3 linked regions of the Macaca mulatta genome follow. The main gene of each other region encodes a partner of the protein of the gene in region 3 in a complex. Links are inferred from orthologs where the notes say so. Each region holds a gene or a part of one and is shown on either strand. Other genes may lie near its edges. The genes, in order: TARS1, EIF4EBP1 and EIF4E2.

Region 1 (7,269 bases), on a different chromosome or scaffold from region 3:
ACTGTTTTGCCCCTGAACCGATAGAGAGATGGTTATGTACAAACTTCTACTATTTGTAACACTATTTGTAGCATATCACAGAATTTTGATTCACCTCTCACGGCAGAGCTATTGACAACCACTTTCCTAAAAAGTATGTAGGAGGCCAGTGTGGTGGTTCACACCTGTAATCCCAGCACGAGAGGCCAAGGTGAGAGGATCATTTGAGGCCAGGAGTTTGAGACCAGCTAGGCAACAAAGCAAGACCCTGTCTCTACAAATAAAAATAAAAATAATAAATTAATGTAAAAAAATTTTAAAGTATGTAGGGTAGTGGGTGATACAGTTTGGCTGTGTCCCTACCAAAAATCTCATCTTGAATTGTAATCACCATAATCCCCATGTGTCAAGGGTGGGACTAGGTGGAGGTAATTGGATCATGGGGCAGTTTCCCCATGTTGTTCTCGTGATAATGAGTGAGTCTCATGAGATCTAATGGTTTTATAAGTGTCTGGCATTTTCCCTGCTGGTACTCATTCTCTCTCCTGCTGCTCTGTGAAGAGGTACCTTCTGCTATGATTGTAAATTTCCTGATGCTTCCCCAGCCACGCAGAACTGTGAGTCAATTCAACATCTTTCCTTTATAAATTACCCAGTCTCAGGTATTTCTTCATAGCAGAGAATGGGCTAATACAGTGGGCATAAATTATAACACTGAGAATAAATCAGAAGTTTCTTTTTTGTTGGCAAATACACAAAAGTTGCATAACCGTGTTTTGTGCTTTAGGTCTGAGATGTGCTGGAGGCTCCCGCGATCTTTGCTTAGCTCTAAATACACACATAGTAAAAAAAAATCTTCCTAACACCAGAGGGCACTGTGCTACAGGGATACCTCTGCGAGATTCCCACACTAGCAACTCCGTTACAGCTTCCCCTATGTTCCTGCACCACAGTCAACCTGTTAGAAATGCCTTCTGCTTTTTCTTTTTGCCATCCTTAAATGAGGACTGTTTCTCCCTTGTAATCCTCTCAACAGAATTCCTCTTCTCCCTACCATAACCTGTGTCTCTGGGATTGTATACACAAGTTTCTGAAGCCCTCTGAGGGTTGGGTAATCATGCTGTGATTCTTCCTGTGTATACATGTTAAGTAAATTTGTATGTTTTTTCTATTAATTTACCTCATGTCAGTGATTTTCAGCCAAACTTCAGAGGGCTAAGGGGACCTCTCCTCTTGGCATTTACAATAGTATGTGCTGGTAGTTTCATGCAGTTCTTGGTAGAACTTACTGGTTCAACTTGTTCTTTCACTATGTGTGTATTTAGAGCTAAGCAAGTTTACTATATCTATCTATCTCTATCTATCTATCTATCTATCTATCTATCTATCTATCTATCTATATTTTTTTACTGCTCTGTCGCTGACACTTTGATTTCAGTAACAGTCGTTTTCTTTTCTTTTTTCTTTGAGATGAGGTCTTACTCCATTACCCAGGCTGGAGTGCAGTGGCAAAATCATAGCTCACTACAGACTCAAACTCCTGGACTCAAGCAGTCCTTCTGCCTCAGCCTCCCAAGTAGGTAGGACTGCAGGCGCACACCACCAAACCCAGTTAATTTTTTAATTTTTTATTTTATCTATTTATTTGAGACAGTCTTGCTGTGTTGCCCAGGCTGGAGTACAGTGATGTGATCATAGCTCACTGCAGCCTTGATCTCCCAGGTTCAAGTGATCCCCTCGCCTCAGCCTCCTGAATAGCTGGGACTACAGGTGCACATCACCATGCTTGGCTAATATATATATATTTTTAATTTTTAGTAGACACGAGGTCTCACTATGTTACCCAGACTCGTCTTGAACTCCTGAGCTTAAGCTCTCCTCCTACCTTGCAAGTTTACAGTTTTTAAAAAATGTATTTTATCTCCTTGATTGAAAACTTCACGAAAGCACACTTTGTGTATTTTTGCCAGCACCTGGAAGATGTAAACCTATCACACAGCAGATGTTCAATAAATGTCGAGTGTTGAGACAAAACTTGCTTAATTTTTCAATCAAGGTTTGCAAAATTACCTCTTAATTTGTATTATAAAAGAAGTCAAAACCCATTTACTAACTAGACCTAGAAGAAAGTTTATAATGAGACTAGATTATTAGTAGTGCTTGATGTTCCAGGAGTTATATTCAATTTTAATAGGCTTAGATAGACCAAACTAACTCCCCACATTTAAATTAGAATGAGAATCAACGGGATCTACTCTTACCTTCTAATGTAAAACAATTTAATTATGCTCATTAGACACGTTTGCCTGAATTGTATCTTAATTTTAACTAAGTATAATGAAAACCAGAGAGCTCAAGATTACTGAGTTTGCTAGATGCAGAAAATTATAGGTTAACAATTATATTTAACTGCTATGTAACATTGTTTCTAGCAGCTTCTCTTAACCCCTTGTTCCCTGAAGGCAGAGAGTTGTAGAGAACAGAACTGATGTTTAAAAAGAAAAATCCACAAAACGTGGTGATGGAGTACGTACGTGAAGTTGTGCCCATTGCGCTTCTGATTTCAAATAAGTAATTGTTTTAAATTGCCTACTAACACAAATTTTAAAAGCCCAGTCGATTCCAAACACACCTAGGAGTGAAAATCCATGGTTATTTCCTTGGGTGAGCTTTATTGTATTTTTGCGGGCGCTATAGAAATGCTCCCCCAGGCAGTACAGATCAGCAGCGGCTAGCAGTGAAGAATGTTCAAGGAAGGGTTTGTCCCCGATCACTAGGACTCGGGGCTTGGGGAGCCTGGACTGCCATGAGGAAGGCTCGATTCACCACTACAGACAGGGAGCCAGAGACCTGAGTAGTGCCGAGAAGTCGGCAGTCGCGCCAGGTCAGAAAGCGCCGAAGCCGCAGGAAATCCCGGACTCCATCCCTGGATTTGTTCCAGTGTCGAAGATGGTATCCAGGTCGCCGAAGTTTATGCCAAGACCGACTTATTATCTACGGTGTCCGGGAAGGTCCATGATTGTGCGACATAAAGGCAGAAGGGAGGAAGGCGCAAGCGCATTGGGGACTTGACTCTGAAAAGCGTCCAGACCAAGGTCTGCGGAGAGTAGGCCTGTAGCTCCTCCTCACCCGCCACAACCTGATTTCCTAGAAGGGCTCTGTCATCCAAAAAGATTTTCCATTGGCTTAGAGGAGGCAGGGCCCGTCTTCTCCCGTTATCCATTGGCTGCCCCTTCCGCCGCAAGTTGGGGGCGGGGTTAGGGCGCCTGTCGATTGCATCAGCTGGTCCAGTGGAGGCCAAGTGGCGCAAGCGCAGTGTTCCCGGGCCCTAGCCCACCTGCGACCCGCCTCTTTGCTCTTCTCCTCTAGGCCGTCGCTTTCGGGTTCTCTGATCGCTTCGTCGTTCGCCAATGTTTGAGGAGAAAGCCAGCAGTCCTTCAGGGAAGATGGGAGGCGAGGAGAAGCCGGTGAGCAGACCTGGTGGGACCCAGAGACCAGCCTGGGACTCTCGTGGGTGCAGACGCTCCCTCGCGGCGGGGGCAGGGGTCAGGAAGCAGGAAGCGGCCGGTACCGCGTGGGTCGGAGGAGTGGGGGACGGTGGGACTCATGGAAAGTCGGAACCCCCTTTGGGAACCGTCCATTCATAAATTAGGGTGGGGCCTTGCAGTTCATCTCTGGGTCCATTCTCTTTACAAATGAGGAAACAGACCTTGATTGAGCGACTTGTTCAGAGCCTCACATCTACAGTAGTTAGACGCGGAGACAGAATCAGAATCTTAGGCTTGGGGCTTCCAAACTCGGGTTTGTGGCTTACTGTAAGCGGGAAACATATTGCAGAGCCTTATTTAATCAATCTCCTAAGATCCTGCGGGGGTAAAGAGCTCCATTTTGAGGAAAGGAAAACCGAGTCCCTGAGATCTGACCCAACTTGTCCAGGTTTGGGTGGTTAAGTATACATTTTGCCCGGCACTGAGCTGGGCGGTGGAGGTGGGAAGATGAGTAGGGCCCAGTTCCCCGACTTTGAGGGCCTCACAGGCTGATGTGTAAGAGACAGGAGAACAGCCCTAGTGCTTTGTGATCAGCTGTGTGGTATTACAGAAGAGGAAGCTTAGGAGGGCTCTTTCGAATTGAGTTTGGAAGAATGATTTCACCAGGAAAACAGGCAGAACGGGGCTTCCCACATAAAGGTAGGGAAGGCAGTGAAAAGGGGCACGCAGGTGAATTGTCTTTCGGGTTGTTTGCAAGAGATATGCCAGAAGGGTTAAAGGAACAGCAGTCAGAAAGATCTTAGGCAACAAGGATGTTTGCTACTTGTATTCTATACATGAAGGATCTTAAGCAGGAAGATTGAATTTGTAAAAGTCACGCTGGCATTGGGGTAGAAGGTGAGGCCACATGCAGAAAACTGTTGTAATAGTCCAAGTGAGAAGTGGTGGCATCTTGAGCTAAGGGAGCCTCTATCCCAAGTCTGTGACAGGACAAGTCACTTAAAAGCCAAAACTTTTTCTTGGTTGTCTACTCGGAATTGAATGGAGCACATTCTAAACCAAGTAAATTTAGTTCTAGATGATAAATGGTGACAATACATAGTTTTTTGTTCACATAAAATGGTATTTTTACTATTTTGTAACTTTTTTTTTTTTGCTTAATAGGATGTGGTCAACAGCTTTCCATGTCCATAAATATTCTCCTGTACTATTCTTAATTGGACTTAATATGTATGGTTAACAAATATGTACTTTTTCCTTCCTGTAATAGTTATACAACGGTTAATATTTATTTTGAGTACTAAGTACGGGTTTGGCACTGTATTAATGTATTCCATGAATTAACTCATTCAGTCTTTTGTGTTTATTTATTTATTTATTTATTTTTGTTGAGACGGAGTCTTGCTCTGTCACCCAGGCTGGAGTGCTGTGGCTGGATCTCAGCTCACTGCAAGCTCTGCCTCCCGGGTTTACGCCATTCTCCTGCCTCAGCCTCCCAAGTAGCTGGGACTACAGGCGCCCGCCACCTCGCCCGGCTAGTTTTTTGTATTTTTTTTTTTAGTAGAGACAGGGTTTCACTGTGTTCGCCAGGATGGTCTCGATCTCCTGACCTTGTGATCCGCCCGTCTCGGCCTCCCTAAGTGCTGGGATTACAGGCTTGAGCCACCGCGCCCGGCCCAGTCTTTTGTTTTTTGTTTTGTTTTGTTTTGTTTTTTCCCTGTCGCCCAGGCTGGAGTGCAGTCGCGCGATGTCGGCTCACTGCAAGCTCCGCCTCCCGGGTTCACGCGATTCTACTGCCTCAGCCTCCTGAGTAGCTGGGACTACAGAAGCCCGCCACCACGCCCTGCTAACTTTTTTTTTTTTTTTTTGTATTTTTAGTAGAGATGGGGTTTCACCGTGTTAGCCAGGATGGTCTCGATCTCCTGACCTCGTGATCCGCCCGCTTCGACTTCCCAAAGTGCTGGGATTACAGGCCTAAGCCACCGCTCCCGGCCTCATTCAATCTTCTTAATAACGCTATGAACTGGGTTCTGTTATTATCTCCATTATACAGATGAGAAAGCAGGCAAAGGAACAGTAACTTGCTCAAACCAAGTATCCCTTTTTTTCCCCTTTCTCAAACCCAGTATCCTATAGCAAATACTAATAACCCCTGTGCTGTTCTGAGTGAGTCAGGGACAGATCATTCCTGAGAAAGGTAATTCTGTAGCTTCTGTTAACAATCCAGTTCTGCTTCCCAATTTTTGGGTTGAAATTTTAGATTACTTGTATGTAGATGTACATAACATATATACTCAGGGAAATAGAGAACAGTTGCCCACTCTCTTCCCAGTGTTGTAGAAAAGAGGTAATAGGCCTCAGGGTTCCAGAGAGACCTGTCGTAATGTCCCACCTCTACTACTTAATGATACAAGTGGGCAGGTTGCTTCTTTGAGCCAATGTTCTTGTTTATAAAATGGAGCCGTATTTAGAACCAGAAAAACTTTGTGGTGATTGTCTCTCTCTCTCTCTGTCACTACCCCTGTTCGTTTGGCAAATGATCAAAACCCAAATAATCTTATCAGAAATATAAAACTTATTTTATTATCTTTCAACTTTAAACCTGCACACACCTGCAGTTTTCTTTTTACCCAGTATACTTGATTAGTTACCTCACTTCTACTGTATGACAAAGGATCTGTTGAATCTAAATGAACCTTTAAAGTTTATTAAATCCAGACTCGTGGAGTAGGGGGGAATTTTAGCTCAGCATGAAATTAGGAGTCATATTTTAAAACTAGTTTTTTTTAAAATTATACAAGTAACACGTTTTATAGGATTTAAAAGACAGTGACCAAAATGTCCATCAACTGATAAATGGATAAGTAAGCAATGGAATATTATTTGATAATAAAAAGGTACAATGACAAGTATTGATACATGTTACAACCTGATGATCTTGAAATTATTATGCTAACTAAAAGAAGCCTGTCACAAAAGACCACGTAATGTGTGATTCTATTTATATGAAATTCCTAGAATAGGCAAATCCATAGAAACAGAAACTAGATTAATGGTTGCCAGGGTCTGGAGTTGAAGGCAACAGGGAGTGAACTGCTAATGGGTACAAGGTTTCTTTTTGAGGGTGATGAAAATACTCTAAAATTGATGGTAGCGATAGTTGCACAACAGTGAATACCTAAAAACCATTGAATTGTATACTTTACATGGGTAACTTGTATGATATATGGATTGTATCTTAAAACTTTAAAAAACTAAAGGTCACAAACATGCAAACTAAATGAAATCCCCCCCTTTACATTCCTGGCACAGGATTTATTACTTTAAAACTTTGTATGACTTCACTTACTTCTAATTGAAGCCTGTATTCCTTACGGTAACTTTTAGTTCTTCTGTGAGCATTAGTCTGTCTTACCTTGTATTACTTTCTAAAACAATCCTTCATTAATCAGCCTGGTTTAGTCATTTTTTCTCTCTTTAAATTTTAACGTTTCTGACAACAAGTTTATGTGTACACGTAGGACACATTGCCTCTATTCTCAAAATCCACCTGTTGAAATGCATTCCATCCTTTAAAGTTCTTACACTAGTCCTAGCTTATTTGACGTCTAATCATAGCGCTACTACTGTTCTTTTCTTCTCCGGGAGTTTCTCACACATGTATGCCTTACTTTCCCTGGAGAGACTAGGTTTACACATGGTAGGGATTGGGCCTTATATTTGCTTCTTCCATGGCTTTTGGTAACACTGGTGGAATTCATGGGCACACTTTGTATTCAGTTTGTTTGTTTGTTTGTTTTTC
Region 2 (7,258 bases), on a different chromosome or scaffold from region 3:
TGCTGGGATTACAGGCGTGAGCCACCGCACCTGGCCGAAATTAATTTTTTTTTTCTTTTTTTTTTTTTTTGAGACGGAGTCTCGCTGTGTCGCCCAGGCTGGAGTGCAGTGGCTGGATCTCAGCTCACTGCAATCTCTGCCTCCCGGGTTTTTACGCCATTCTCCTGCCTCAGCCTGCCGAGTAGCCGGGACTACAGGCGCCCGCCACCTCGCCCGGCTAGTTTTTTGTATTTTTTAGTAGAGACGGGGTTTCACCGTGTTAGCCAGGATGGTCTCGAACTCCTGACCTCGTGATCCGCCCGTCTCGGCCTCCCAAAGTGCTGGGATTACAGGCTTGAGCCACCGCGCCCGGCCTAATTTTTTTTTTTCTTTTGAGACGGGGTCTTGCTCTGATACCAGGCTGCAGTGCAGTGGTGTGATCTCGGCTCACTGCAACCTCCACCTCCCAGGTTCAAGCGATTCTCCTGCCTCAGCCTCCCGAGTAAGCTGGAACTACAGGCACGCACCACCATGCCCAGCTAATTTTTTTTGTATTTTTAGTAGACACAGGGTTTCACCATGTTGTCCAGGATGGTCTCGATCTCTTGACCTCGTGATCTGCCCACCTCGGCCTCCCAAAGTGTTGGGATTACAGGCGTAAGCCACTGCACCTGGCCCAAAATTAATTTTTTAATGTAATTTTCTGAACCCAATATACTCAAAATATTATCAGTTCAACATACAATCAATATAGAAACAAATTATTCAGGCATTTTACATTATTTTTTTCATGCTAAGTCTTTGAAATATGGTGTGTATGTTAAACTTGTGACAGTTTGGACTGGCCACATTTGGAGTGCTCAATGTGCACCTGTAGCTGGCGGCTACTGTCTTAAGCCACTGTAGGCCTAAAGTTTCCCTCAAAAGTGAGACCAAATTCAACAGGTCTCCCTATCTCAGGCCTTGCCCTCCTTGGCCCATCCTGAAACTCCACTGGCTACTAGTTATCTTTCAAAAAAAACAACTCAAATCATGTCATCCCCCTGCTTAAAAGATCTCTGGGCTGGACGCGGTGACTCACGCCTGTAATCCCAGCACTTTGGGAGGCCGAGGCGGGTGGATCACGAGGTTAGGAGATCGACACCAACACCATCCTGGCTAACACGGTGAAATCCCATCTCTACTAAAAATACAAAAAATTAGCTGGGCGCAGTGGCGGGCGCCTGTAGTCCCAGCTACTCGGGAGGCTGAGGCAGGAGAATGGCGTGAACCCGGGAGGCAGAGCTTGCAGTGAGCCAAGATCGCGCCACTGCACTCCAGCCTTAAAAAAAAAAAAAAAAAAAAAAAAAATCTCTGATCTCTCCTGCCCTTCTAAGACAAAGTCCAAGCACTTTGGCATGATTTGAAAAACTCAATGACCTGACCCCAATTTCCTTTTTAAAAAATTATTATATATTTTTTAGAGATAGGGTCTCTCACTAAGGGTGGAGTGCAGTGGTGTGATCACACTCACTGGAGCCTCAAACTCCTGAGCTCAAGCATCCTCCAGCTCAGCTTCCTGAGTAGTGGGGATTACAGGTGCACCACCCAATTTCCCTTTTAAACTTTCTTCACCCTCTTCCCCACAACATGTGCCCACAATGCTAAGAACTTCTCAAACCCAACAAGCTTTTCCATCCTCGGTCCTTCTTGCATTTTTCTCTCTCCCCTTGAACATCCCTCCATCCATCCATCCAAGGAGTACCTACTAAATCTCAGGCAGTGGGGTGGGCGTTGGACCCAATTCAGGAGTTATCGGGAAACCTCTTTGACAAACTCTTACCCCTCTCCTACGCCCTTCCCTCTCCCCCTACCCCCGCGCCCCTAGCTCTAAATTTAACTCCCAGGACGCCGCTGGTTGGTTCACTCCTCCTCCCACACCCTGTCTAAAGGCCGGGAACAGAATTGTTAGCCCCACCATCCCCACCCCCATCAAGGTCAAGAAATTGAGGCGGGGGAGGGGGTGAGCATGACCACTCAATCCCCACTTTCTCATCTGAGGAACTAAGGCACGAAACAGGGAGTGCCGGAGGGTACACCGGGCCTGATGTACTAAGGCAGAAACCGGGCCTTCCTGCAGTGGGCCGGGTCAGCTCGGATCTCCGCGCGGTCCTGAGTCGCCGCCCCCAACCCAGCCAAGGATTAATTTAGGCGAGCTATCCCGCCCACCACCCCCACCCCCATCCCTGCCAACGTGGCGGGGAGGGACACAGGACAGAGGGGCAGTCGCTGCGGGGCGGCGCCGGCGCCCGTGCGGAAGAGCCCGTGAGCAGGCGTGAGTGGGTCGGGGGGCTGCGGGGGATCCCACGTGGAAGCAACGTCCTGGAGCTGGGTGGGGCTGCGGCGCGGACTACAAATCCCAGGGGCGTGGGCGGGAGAGGCGGAAGGGGCGTCCTGGGGCGGGGCGGGACGGGGCGAGGCTGAGCGGGACCCGGCTAGGCGGAGCGAGGCTGGAGGCGCGGGAGGGCAGCGAGAGGTTCGCTGGTGCAGCGCACAGGAGACCATGTCCGGGGGCAGCAGCTGCAGCCAGACCCCAAGTCGGGCCATCCCCGCCACTCGCCGGGTGGTGCTCGGCGACGGCGTGCAGCTCCCGCCCGGGGACTACAGCACGACCCCCGGCGGCACACTCTTCAGCACCACCCCGGGAGGTAGGCGCGGGCTTGGGGACGCAGCTGGCCGGCTCCTGGGCGGGCGGGAGGATCGGGAATCGCGGATTGGACCGGGTGTCCAGGCTCAAGGGCGCTGTGACTGGAAAGAACGGAGAAGGGGCATCGGGGAGATATCGAGGGTCATGGAAGTGGCCGCCCGTCTGCCCTCTTGAGTGCGTCGTCCAGACCCAGGTTGCAAACTGCCCCGTTCGTTTCCTCTTTCTGTTAGGTGTCAGACAGCTGACACCTAACAAACACGCACTCTTCCAGGACTGCCACATGCCGAGCTGTGCTGCCCCTTGTGGGTGTTGGGGGCGCTCCCGAGGCAGGATAGGGCGGAGTCAGGGTGGCCCACGATCCAGGAGAGGCCTGGCCTGGTGTTTTTATGGGATGGGTATTATCTGTTGGGATAAATGATTCCTGCAGGGCCCTTTTTCCTTTCCGAAGCACCCCTAGTTTTGCGTTGGACACGCGCGCTCTGACGGAGGTTTGGATGTGGGGGTGCTCTCCTGCTCCAGCAGAGCCTCCCGGGCACCTGTGGCACGTTCCCCATTTTCGCGAGTGGGATCTCCGCGGGGGGGCCTGGCGCCACGGGCAGGGCTGTGCAGAAAAACACGTTCTTCTGTCCGGGGAGAGGAGGAGGCACCGTGTGACCTCCCTGGGAGAGGATGAGGAAGAGGAAGCTGAGCTGGCACGGGTGCGGGGGTGGGGGGGCAGCCTCAGGCTGCCCTCAGGAGCCTGGCATTCCCTCCCAGCCCCGCAACCCCAGCGCACAGACGCTGATGAAACCTACGCGCCTGTTTGCATGATGAAACAAATCCTCGTGGCTCTCCACTCCCCTCCCATCCTCGTACTGCCCCCACCCCTTTGACTTCTCTCCCTTCAATCTCCTCCACGCTGCTTTCCAAACTACTCGAAAACGCGACAGATCCTGGCGCTTCACTCGGTGGCGGGCAGGGGCCACATGCTTATTTTCTCAGGCAGCTGTCCTACCAGCAGCATGCACGGCCGGATCCGAGGTCCTCAGCTATTTGATCCAAAACATACACTGTTAGAACGGTTAGGGATCTTGTCCAGCCCTGCCGCCTTATTCTACAGAGCCGGGCATTGAGGCCCCAGAGCTTGAACACGTGTCTATTGCCCATTGTCACACCGTTTTCCCAGATTGGACAAGAAATAGCAACCAGGCAGAGAAGGGAGGAATGCTTCATTTTCTATTAGAAATGAGCCAAGGAAAAGCTCGCAGGGGCTCTTATTGCCACTCCCGACTCATCCTCTTTCCCTTGCTGGGTCTTTTGTAGTTCATGCTGTTCTCCTTTGTCCCTGTCACAATGGTCTACCAGGACAATTCCTGACAATTTTGGACTTCTTTCAACTGAGGGTGTAAGTGTCTGCTGGATTTGTTCAGGGTGGGCCCTGAGGCTGGCCTGAAGGCACAGGTAGCCCTTTTTTGCGCCTTTTATTGCTGGATTGTTGGGTCAAATTGGAAGCCACAGATACTGTTTATAGGCACTTCTGGCACGGGTACCAAGGTTCACACCTGTAATCTCAGCATTTTGGGGAGTCGAGGCAGGAGAATTGCTTGAGGCCAGGAGTTCAAGACCAGCCTGGGCAACATAGTGAGACTCCATCTCTACAAAAAAAAAAAAAAAAAAAAAAAAAAAAAAAAAAGATGTCCTAGCTATTACAGAGGCTGCGGCCAGAGGGTCGCTTGAGCCCAGGAGTTGGAGGCTGTAGTGAGCTATGATTGACCACTGCATTCCAGCCTGGGTGACAGAGCGAGACCCTGTCTCTAAAATAAATAATAAACATAAAATATATGAACTTTGAATCCACTTTTCACTTTGGGTTGGGAAGTGGGGAGTAGGCAGGGGGCTGACAGACCACAGCAAATCCCCCTCCTTTTGAAGGTCTTTTTTTTTTTTTTTTTTTTTTTTTTTTGAGACGGAGTCTCGCTCTGTCACCCAGGCTGGAGTGCAGTGGCCGGATCTCAGCTCACTGCAAGCTCCGCCTCCCGGGTTCACGCCATTCTCCTGCCTCAGCCTCCCGAGTAGCTGGGACTACAGGCGCCTGCCACCTCGCCCGGCTAAGTTTTTGTATTTTTAGTAGAGACGGGGTTTCACTGTGTTACCCAGGATGGTCTCGATCTCCTGACCTCGTGATCCGCCCGTCTCGGCCTCCCAAAGTGCTGGGATTACAGGCTTGAGCCACCGCGCCCGGCCGAAGGTCTTTAACAGTAGGGGGAGTGGGGAAGGGGCTTCTGCATCAGGGCATAGCATGTTTCTGAGATCACTGGAAGAAGCTAGCAGTGCCAGGAGCCTAAAGCCAGCTCACTCTTTGGGTCATCCAGGTACAGCTCACAGTCCCTAAGCCAGGGAAACCCGGCTTACTTCCACTAAAGTCAAGCAAGCCTGGTCGGCCTCGATTAGCCAAGGTGTGAACTCTTCCTCCAAAGCCCACCTCAGCCCACCTCTGCTAGGGCAGAGAAGCTGAAATGGTCACATCGCAGGACCCTTTTGCTCCAGAGCAGAATACTGCGTCTCAACCTTCCAGGTGCTTGAGGATAACTGGGGGCTTCATTTAAGTGCATATTCTGATTCTGTAGGTGGGGGTGGGGACTAGATTCAGCATTTCTTTCTTTTTTCTTTCTTTCTTTTTTTTTTTTTTTTTTGAGAAGGGTCTCACTCTGTCACCTAGGCTGGAGTGCAATGGCATGATCTCAGCTCACAGCAACCTCCACCTCCCGGGGTCAAGCGATCCTCCCACCTCAGCCTCCCCAATAGCTGGGACAACAGGCACACGCCACTCATGCCCAGCTAATTTTTGTATTTTTTGGCAGAGACGGGGATTTCACCGTGTTGGCCAGGCTGGTCTCAAACTCCTGACCTCAAGTGATCTGCCTGCCTCGGCCTTCCAGAGTGCTGGGATTACAGGCATGAGTCACCATGCCCAGCCTAGATTCATCATTTCTAACTAGCTCTCAGTGATTGGTGCATATACCACACTCTGAGTACTCAGGAATTAGTGGAACGTAACTTCCCTCACCTTTCAGATCTCTGGAGTCTGGCGGAAAAAAAAAAAAAAATGATGACTCCATCCAGGTAAACCTTGAGGTTGGGCTCAGCATCTGTCTCTAAATCATGGTGTGGAGAGTCAGGCTTTTGATAGAGTGTCTGTATGGCTGTCTGCACCTGCTTACTTATAGGGACTGTCAGCTTCTCAGGAAAAACCACTGGAGTAAGTGCCCACCAGTCACTCCTGCTGGGAATGGCCATCAAGTGATCGTCCCTGGAGGGAAAGAAGCAGAGTTGGGTTGCGCTATCTCCGTTCCTGTGACTGCAGTTTGCTTTCCTTTTTTTTTTTTTTTTTTCCCTGAGACAGGGTCTCACTGTGTCACCCAGGCTGGAGTACAGTAACATGAACATAGCTCACTGCAGTCTCAAACTCCTGGGCTCAAGTGATCCTCCTGCCTCAGCCTTGCAAGTAGCTGGGACTATAGGCACGTGCCCCCATACCCTGCTAAGTTTTTGATTTTTTTGTAGAGGCAGGGTCTCTCTGTATTGCCCAGGCTGGCCTCAGACTCCTGGGTTCAAGCAATCCTCCCACCTCAGCCTCCCAAACTGCTGGGATTATAGGCATGAGTCACCTCACCCGGCCTCCAGTTTGCTTTCCATGGTCATTAACCATTTGTACACTGAGGCTCTGCTGAGGTTAGCTGTCCGGAGTACTTAAGAGAATTTTGCTGAAGGGAGTGTCATGTATGAATATTTGAGTCTTTGGAGTCTTAGAAATATCCAGCAACACCATAAACAACCCATTAGCCAGCAGAACCTTTGAGTGGATCAGAAAGAAACTTTCCCTTATCGATCTCCACATTCCCAGCTCCGTGTTGCATGTTTGACTCTGAAGCCTACATACAGGCTTGGGTGGCAGTTATGCCAAAGACTCGTACCTGGATAAGGTGAATCCGAGGTGAGCAGGTAGAGCTGCAGGTGTTAATGGCACCCTGTTTGGTTAAGCAAACAAGGTCTGTGCCTGGGAAGCTTACCTTGGAGCAGCTCCCAAGTCTTTGGACATGAAAGAGGCGGTGCTGGGAAGAGGGGGGACGTAGGCTGGGCATCGAAGCCAGAGCACAGCCCATGTCCTGAGGCCTTAGTCACATAGAGGGAAGAAGTTATTATTAAGGATGGGTTAAAAGAGCTTGGACATTAATGCAGTGAGGGAGAAACAATGGACCCTCTTCTCACATTTACCTGAGCTTCCTTTTAAAGTGTTTGAAGGAGCCAGGTGCAGTGGCTCGCACCTGTAATCCCAGCTACTAGGAAGGCTGAAGCAGGAAAATTACTCAAGGCCAGGAGTTCAAGACCAGCCTGAGCAACATAATGAGACTGTAGGTATAAATTAAATAAATAAAATTTTTAAAGTGTTGGAAGCATTCCACACTGTGTCCCTTATTAAAGATTTGGTGGGGGGGGGTTCCTGATGTAGAGCACCCCGGACTCCTTCCAATCCCCAGACTCCTTTTTATTGTTGTTGTTGTTATTATTATTATTATTTTGAAATAGAGGTTCGCTCTTATTACCCAGGCTGGA
Region 3 (6,752 bases):
AGTGAGCTGAGGCAAGGCTGCACCATTGCACTCCAGCCTGGGCAAAAAGAGTGAAACTCCGTCTCAAAAAAACAAAACAAAAACAAAAAAAAGAAGATTGTGCAGTGTAGTTGTAAGATTGGAGGAGACCAGACTATTAAAGTGATTATTGACTGGGGAACTGGAGATGGTTGCCATACTTTCTCCTCACCAAGCCTCTTTCAGTTCCTTATTCACAATGAGCCATTTGGGGGTGTACTTAGTTCTCTTCAACTATGTTAGGGTGGATAAAGGTTTAGATTATTGCCGATTGTATTCATATGACCATTTACTATTCCAAGTCACTATATGCAGCTAAGCTTAGCAGTTGCTGAATATGAAGCACTGCCTTGAAGCCCTATAGATGGCGTTAGTTCCTGACTTCTTTTTAACATGTAAGATGCATCACATGTTCTTGTGCCAGAGAGGAACTAAAGGGGCAGCCATTTCACCCAGTGTAAGGTTGATTTCTCCTTAGGTGCTCCTGAAATCTAGAAGTATGACCTGAATCTTTGTCTACTCAGTACCCATTGTCAGCTCCATAGTTGTGGTATCTTGCTGTATGTTGATTTAGAGCCTGCTCAGCAAGTTGGCAAATACCAGCTATTTCTCATCAGAGTGTTCGTGTTTTTTCTTTCCTCCTAAAGTGTGCCTCTTCACTGGCCAGTACTTACTAGGTATCCTCTGTGAATAAGGAAATAATCTGTCCTATCAAGACACTAATGAGCCTGTAGTCCCAGCTACTTGGGAGGCTGAGATAGGAGGATCCCTTGACACCAGGAGTTAGAAGCTATAATGAGCTATGATCATACTGCTGCACAGATCCTGTCTCTTTTTTTTTTCTTTTTCTTTTTTTTTTAAGGGGGGAGGTGACACTAATGAGAAAAATGGGACTACTGTGATGAATACAAATAAGCATATACTTGATAGAAAAATATAAATCTAGTTTTCTCATGGGATTGTGAAGGAGCAGCAAGGAGAAACATAATTTTTCTAGCTAAGAAGAAGGCCTTAAACCCTAGCTATGAGAAGCTAAGTCCTGTACGATTTTGGATGGGCCTGGACTTTAGCAACAGCACCATGGTGTAGAGTAGTATGTGTGGTACAAGTGGTTGATTCTATCACTTATGCTTAGTAACTAAACAGGTCTAAGAAGTATTTCATTCAGCAAATGCTATATTTGCCAGTGAAACAATCTTTGATCAGTAAGTGATTTGGTTCTAAAAAATGGATTCAGGCTGAGGCTGTGTGGCACTTAATATACCTCAAGGCTAAAGAGTTTCCATTGTGCAAAAACCTGGTCCTCTTACTGCATGTGATGACTGTCCTGCGGCTTGAGTGGGAGAGTGCGTATTAACATGGTTTCACCAACTAAAGCTCCTGGCTCAGGCTTGCATTTCTCATCAAAGATTTTATTCTTGTATTGCTAATGTTACATTTTTTCTTTCGTGAAACTAGATGATACACTTTTCTTCTAATATGTCTTCCCTCACAGTGCCACACATGAAAATGAGTCCTCTGAAAAGGACAGCCTGTAGTATAGTGTCTTCCATGCTTATGTTCTTAACTAAATTTCAACTTCGGGATGCATTCAAAGAAAAATACAAGACACATCTTTTTTACTGTGGGGTCTTCTCTCTGCAGGTGGAGCAGTTCTGGAGGTTTTATAGCCACATGGTACGTCCCGGGGACCTGACAGGCCACAGTGACTTCCATCTCTTTAAAGAAGGAATTAAACCCATGTGGGAGGTAAGGACTAATGGTCTCTGACTGCTTTTTTGAGCAAGTTTGGGTTTTTTTGTTTTGTCTCTTAGCCTACCAAGGTTAAAAGTATTTTAAAGTCTTCTCTCAAAACTGCATCACTCTCCAGTATATCCTTGGAACCTGAGCCTCTAGAGAAATGCACTGATGCCATTTTTTTGTCTGTGTGGGTTGGTGCTGAGTGTTTTTTAAAGACTGTTTTATGACTAAAATGGTATTAGAACATTAAAGGATTTTTGTTTTCAGTTACTTTTATCCCTATAGAACTTGTTTGTGTATGCGTGTAATATTTTTACATAGTACACATATGATTAAAGTGGGTAGGAAAATAAGCTTAAAGGCAGTAACTGAAGACCTAGAACTGTTTGCAGAGCCAGTATTCGACTGCACCCTGGTGTAATGCATCTTCTATTCTGATGCCATGGCATTTTTTGAGTAGACACATGTGGTCACATCCACGCCGCCCAACTTACACAGCTCCTCATTGCTCACATGATCTTGCATCTCATTTACCTTTCAAGCCTCATCTCCCATTATCTCTAAATCTTCCCTTCCTTGCAGGTGGACCCTCCTGTCAGTTTTTGCGCAGACATGTTCTTTCCAGTGCCCGCAGTGCCCTTCGCCTGCTTTTCCTGACTCACTCCTATTGCCCTTAAGACCCACTTCTTGGCAGGCCTTGGTGGCTCATGCCTGTAATCCCAGTACTTTGGGAGGTCAAGGTGGACAGATTACCTGAGGTCAGGAGTTTGAGACCAGCCTGGCCAACATGGTGAAACCCCGTCTCTACTAAAAATACAAAAATTAGCCAGGTGTGGTGGCAGGCACCTGTAATCCCAGCTACTCGGGAGACTGAGACGGGAGAATCACTTGAACCCAGGAGGTGGAGGTTGCACTGAGCCGAGATTGCACCACTGCACTTCAGCCTGGGTAACACAGCAAGACTCCATCTCAAAAAAAAAAAAGACCCGCTTCTTGACTGTTTCCAACTGTCTTGTTCTTCCTTAACATAGTGTGTATATCTGTTAACAGCAGCACTTATAATTACAGTAGCATTGCTGTAATTAATATCCTTGCCTGTCTGTTCTACTAGACTGGATCTAAGTAGCGACTGGGGCTTCAGCCAGGCACAGTGGCTCACTCCTGTAATCCCAGCACTTTGGGAGGCCGAGGCGGGCAGATCACGAGGTCAGGAGTTCGAGACTACCCTGCCCAATATGGTGAAACCCTGTCTCTACTAAAAATACAACAATTAGCAGGGTATGGTGGCATGCGCCTGGAGTCCCAGCTACTCAGAAGACAGGGACTAGAGAATCACTTGAACCCGAGAGGCAGAAGTTGCAGTGAGCCGGTATCATGCCACTGCACTCCAGACTGGGTGACAGAGGGAGACTCCGTCTCAAAAAAAAAAAAAACTAGATTGGGGCTTCATGACTGTGTATTTGGTATGTAGTTACACTCAGTATTTTTTTTTTTTTTTTTTTTTTTTGAGACAAAGTCTTGTTCTGTTGCCCAGGCTGGAGTGCAGTGGTGCCATCTCAGCTCACTGCAAGCTCTGCCTCCAAAGTTTACGCCATTCTCCCGCCTCAGCCTCCTGAGTACCTGGGACTACAGACACCCGCCACCACGCCCGGCTAATTTTGTTTCTGTATTTTTAGTAGAGATGCGATTTCACCATGTCAGCCTGGCTAGTCTAGATCTCCTGACCTCGTGATTCGCTTGCCTAGGCCTCCCAAAGTGCTGGTATTACAGGCGTGAGCCACCACGCCCAGCAGACACTCAGTACTTTTAGCAAGTGAAGGGATGATCCGTGCTTGAAATATGACATCATTTCATTTTGATTCCTAAAGTATTTCCAGTAAAGGGGATTATTTTTAAAAGGTCTGTTAAGCCATTTTAATATATGGCTTATGCCAAGGATCCCAGCCATGTTTTTCTTTTTTTCCCCATTTCTTCTCTCCGTAGTCCTACCATCAGTTTTTCTATAGAGTTGAATAATTGGAAAATGATATGACTTATTAGTGTTTAAGAGATTATTGGCTTTTTACTGCCTTCATACAAAAAAAAAACACTGTGAAACCGTATTTTAACTTCAGTGCTTTCTGTCTTTTTACAGGATGATGCAAATAAAAATGGTGGCAAGTGGATTATTCGGCTGCGGAAGGGCTTGGCCTCCCGTTGCTGGGAGAATCTCATTTTGGCCATGCTGGGGGAACAGTTCATGGTTGGGGAGGAGATCTGTGGGGCTGTGGTGTCTGTCCGCTTTCAGGTAAGCCACCCATGGGCCAGTCTGGTTTCTTGTGTTGCCTTTGCTCTCCTCGCTGCCTCTGATTTGCTTTGATGATTCCTTGTGTTCCTCTGATAGGAGGACATTATTTCAATATGGAATAAGACTGCCAGTGACCAAGCAACCACAGCCCGAATCCGGGACACACTTCGGCGAGTGCTTAACCTACCTCCCAACACCATTATGGAATACAAAACTCACACCGACAGCATCAAGTACGTGTTGGGGGGTTATGGGAGGATGTGTCCCTAAGCTTAGCAGAAGTAGATCTGTAGTTGGGCCCAGAGGAATATGACCGGACAGGAGACTTACTTGTGGAGAAGGGACAGACCAGGCCTTCCCTCCAGGGCTTCTGGCTACTTGCTGCAGTTCTTTGTCAGCGAGGCTCCCTGCCACCTATACTACCAGGTGCTTTGTAGCAGAGAGAGCCTGTCTGCAGAAACCCAGTTGCACTGCCTGGGCTTGCTTAATTTCTACAGGCTGTCCTGTCTTTCATATTCTAACCACTATCTTAAAATGAAAGACAAGTGCTTTTCTTTTTCTTGCTGTTTTTTAAGATAATTTCACCCTGCCCACCCTCACCCCACTTCTGCATGTCTTTTTAACTTGTTAGCTTCAGTCTGTTTTCTTTGTCCTGGGATACTGACTACTTATCAGGAATGACTCCATTTCCTTGTGTATAGAGCTGACTCATAGAAGAAGGGGGATAGTGTGTGTGTGAGAGAGCAGAATCAAAGGGAAGCATGATGGCCACAGGGAAAATAAGCTTTGCAGTCTCCCTAGGACGGGAAATAGAGCTTTCTGTCTACAGTGAGAATCACTGTTAGGCTTGCTCCTTCAGTGATTGAGTGTCAGAAGTAAGCTCAGGCTATTGTGAAAAAGTGTGGGGAGTGGCTGTCAGATTGTCTCAAAGCTGGAGGGAGAGCTAGCCAGCTAAGAGTTAGGACTCTTAGGTTTAGTTCTGTCCTATGGCCCCGTACCAATATGTGCCTTTGACAAGCGTCTTTGCAACTTTGCTTCAGTTTCTCCATCTGTAAAGTGGGAGACAGTACTTTATCTAACAAGGCTATTGTGAGGCTGATTTAATCTTTAACTGAGGGTCCTCAGATGGAGAATGCTCTTACAGGGCCACGTAGTAGTATTGCTATCATCATCATCATCATTAGTAAGAATATCATCATGTTGTTATTATTGAAGACTAGTAGTGAGCCCAGCGATTATGTTCAGCAGACAGACCGTTTGGGAATCTCTTTCCCATGCATTCACAGATAATGTTATGAGTGGAGTTGGCTTAAACCAGCTAAGTACCAGTTTTTAAGTGGGAACACTGCTATGGGAGTTGGTCCGTGATCAAACGGCTGGCATGACTCATCATAGTCACCAACAGTTATTAGCCAGCCTTGGCCCTGGTTGCTTGCCTTAGCAGTCCTGTGTTAGCATTGTTTTTCTCTAGGCACATTTTTCTTATTCTCTGTTCTGGGATAGAAGTAGTTTCTGACCTCTAGCCTCATTCAGTCCAGGCTGGAGAGATCTATACCTTTTTCTAGGATTCTTGTTTTCAAGGTTTCTAAATATCCCCCACTCCCACTCACCCCCAAAATAAGTTTTCCACCTGGATAAGAGAGGGAAAGAGGTATTTTTCATCAGTTCTCCCCTTCTCTGCTGTTCTCCCTTTCTAATACCATAAGGCAGTTCTTTGTGACTTTTATAGATATATATGTACATGTCCTGACAGAGTTTAGGAGAGCCTGTGGGCTTTTTGCCTTAGTCTGCTAGAAAGACTGGCCTGCTGCTCCCTGCTTTATCCAGAGGTCTGCCTCTGGGACTTCAGCCCTATAGCTGTAGAGACCAGAAAACCAGCCCTCTTTGAGACCCAGATGCTACTTTCCCTTGCGTCCCCCTCTCTTTCCTTTCCCAATGAGCCAACCTTTTGCACTTCCACTAGAATGCCAGGCAGGCTGGGCCCCCAAAGGCTCCTTTTTCAAAACCTCTGGAAGCCGCGGTTGAATGTGCCATGACCCTCTCCCTCTCTGGATGGCACCATCATTGAAGCTGGCGTCATCGGAGTCTCTTGTTCTGTTGGCGTGCTACCTGGAAGATCCTTCTGTCCTGGACAAGAGGAATTGGAAGAGCATTTTATGTTTTAAGAACAGGCTGACACACAGCAGCTACAACAACAGCTGAGATCACTTAATAAATGGTGCTAAACTAGCTTGTCTCATGCTCTTGCTCTTTATGGTGCATCAAAGATGTGGCCTTTCGGACTGACTGTCACCATATTAAGGGATGGCACAGACTTTTCCATGGAGGGCCATCCGGGGAATGCAGCCTCATTTCCATAAGCCCATTGTGTAGTGTCATGTGGTATTTTGTTCCAGGACTGCTGAGGCCTGACATAATAAGGTGACATCTAGCTTTCAAAATAAGACCCTATTTTCTGGTACTTAAATTTGAGGTCCCATCTAGTCACGCCGATGACCAGAACAGAGTGATTTCTGATACAGAATTCAGCTTGAAAGTCTGTTCAGGTTGGAAAGGGGGATCCTTGGCCTTTGCTTCGCTGACTTCCATTCGCCTTTACTTCAAAGAAATTTCTTGCTTGGAGGTAAATCCCTGCTTCCGTCTGTGTGGCTGTATGTATATAGCTTCCTTGCTTTGTGCTAATGGGGTTTTCTTGCTGGTGCCAAAG

What was found.
Region 1: the proteins of EIF4E2 (region 3) and TARS1 are in contact, whole or in part, in a crystal structure (PDB 5XLN), measured with the Homo sapiens proteins. The link is inferred for Macaca mulatta from reciprocal best matches to the Homo sapiens genes EIF4E2 and TARS1. Residues at the interface, in NP_004837.1 of Homo sapiens: His54, Pro55, Leu56, Gln57, Val91, Glu92, Phe94, Trp95, Arg96, Glu149, Asn150, Leu153, Leu156, Gly157, Glu158, Gln159, Met161, Val203; in NP_001245366.1 of Homo sapiens: Pro51, Glu52, Tyr53, Ile54, Tyr55, Thr56, Arg57, Met60, Tyr61, Ile63, Leu64, Glu67.
Region 2: the proteins of EIF4E2 (region 3) and EIF4EBP1 are in contact, whole or in part, in a crystal structure (PDB 5NVN), measured with the Homo sapiens proteins. The link is inferred for Macaca mulatta from reciprocal best matches to the Homo sapiens genes EIF4E2 and EIF4EBP1. Residues at the interface, in NP_004837.1 of Homo sapiens: Glu53, His54, Pro55, Leu56, Gln57, Tyr58, Tyr64, Arg66, Lys83, Gln84, Ile85, Gly86, Val91, Glu92, Gln93, Trp95, Arg96, Phe97, Ser99, His100, Met101, Val102, Leu107, Phe113, Glu149, Asn150, Leu153, Gly157, Glu158, Gln159; in NP_004086.1 of Homo sapiens: Arg51, Ile52, Ile53, Tyr54, Asp55, Arg56, Phe58, Leu59, Met60, Cys62, Arg63, Ser65, Val67, Thr68, Lys69, Thr70, Pro71, Pro72, Asp74, Leu75, Pro76, Ile78, Pro79, Gly80, Val81, Thr82, Ser83.

What each region holds. Positions count from the first base shown.
Region 1 is NC_133411.1:34,817,058-34,824,326, forward strand, and holds the start of TARS1 (threonine--tRNA ligase 1, cytoplasmic), read left to right. Parts: upstream 1-3,278; 5' UTR 3,279-3,389; coding exon 3,390-3,446; intron 3,447-7,269. UniProt on the Homo sapiens protein: Catalyzes the attachment of threonine to tRNA(Thr) in a two-step reaction: threonine is first activated by ATP to form Thr-AMP and then transferred to the acceptor end of tRNA(Thr).
Region 2 is NC_133413.1:39,970,898-39,978,155, forward strand, and holds the start of EIF4EBP1 (eukaryotic translation initiation factor 4E-binding protein 1), read left to right. Parts: upstream 1-2,391; 5' UTR 2,392-2,521; coding exon 2,522-2,666; intron 2,667-7,258. UniProt on the Homo sapiens protein: Repressor of translation initiation that regulates EIF4E activity by preventing its assembly into the eIF4F complex: hypophosphorylated form competes with EIF4G1/EIF4G3 and strongly binds to EIF4E, leading to repress translation.
Region 3 is NC_133417.1:137,819,113-137,825,864, forward strand, and holds the end of EIF4E2 (eukaryotic translation initiation factor 4E type 2), read left to right. Parts: intron 1-1,662; coding exon 1,663-1,767; intron 1,768-3,892; coding exon 3,893-4,045; intron 4,046-4,141; coding exon 4,142-4,278; intron 4,279-6,008; coding exon 6,009-6,081; 3' UTR 6,082-6,263; downstream 6,264-6,752. UniProt on the Homo sapiens protein: Recognizes and binds the 7-methylguanosine-containing mRNA cap during an early step in the initiation. Acts as a repressor of translation initiation.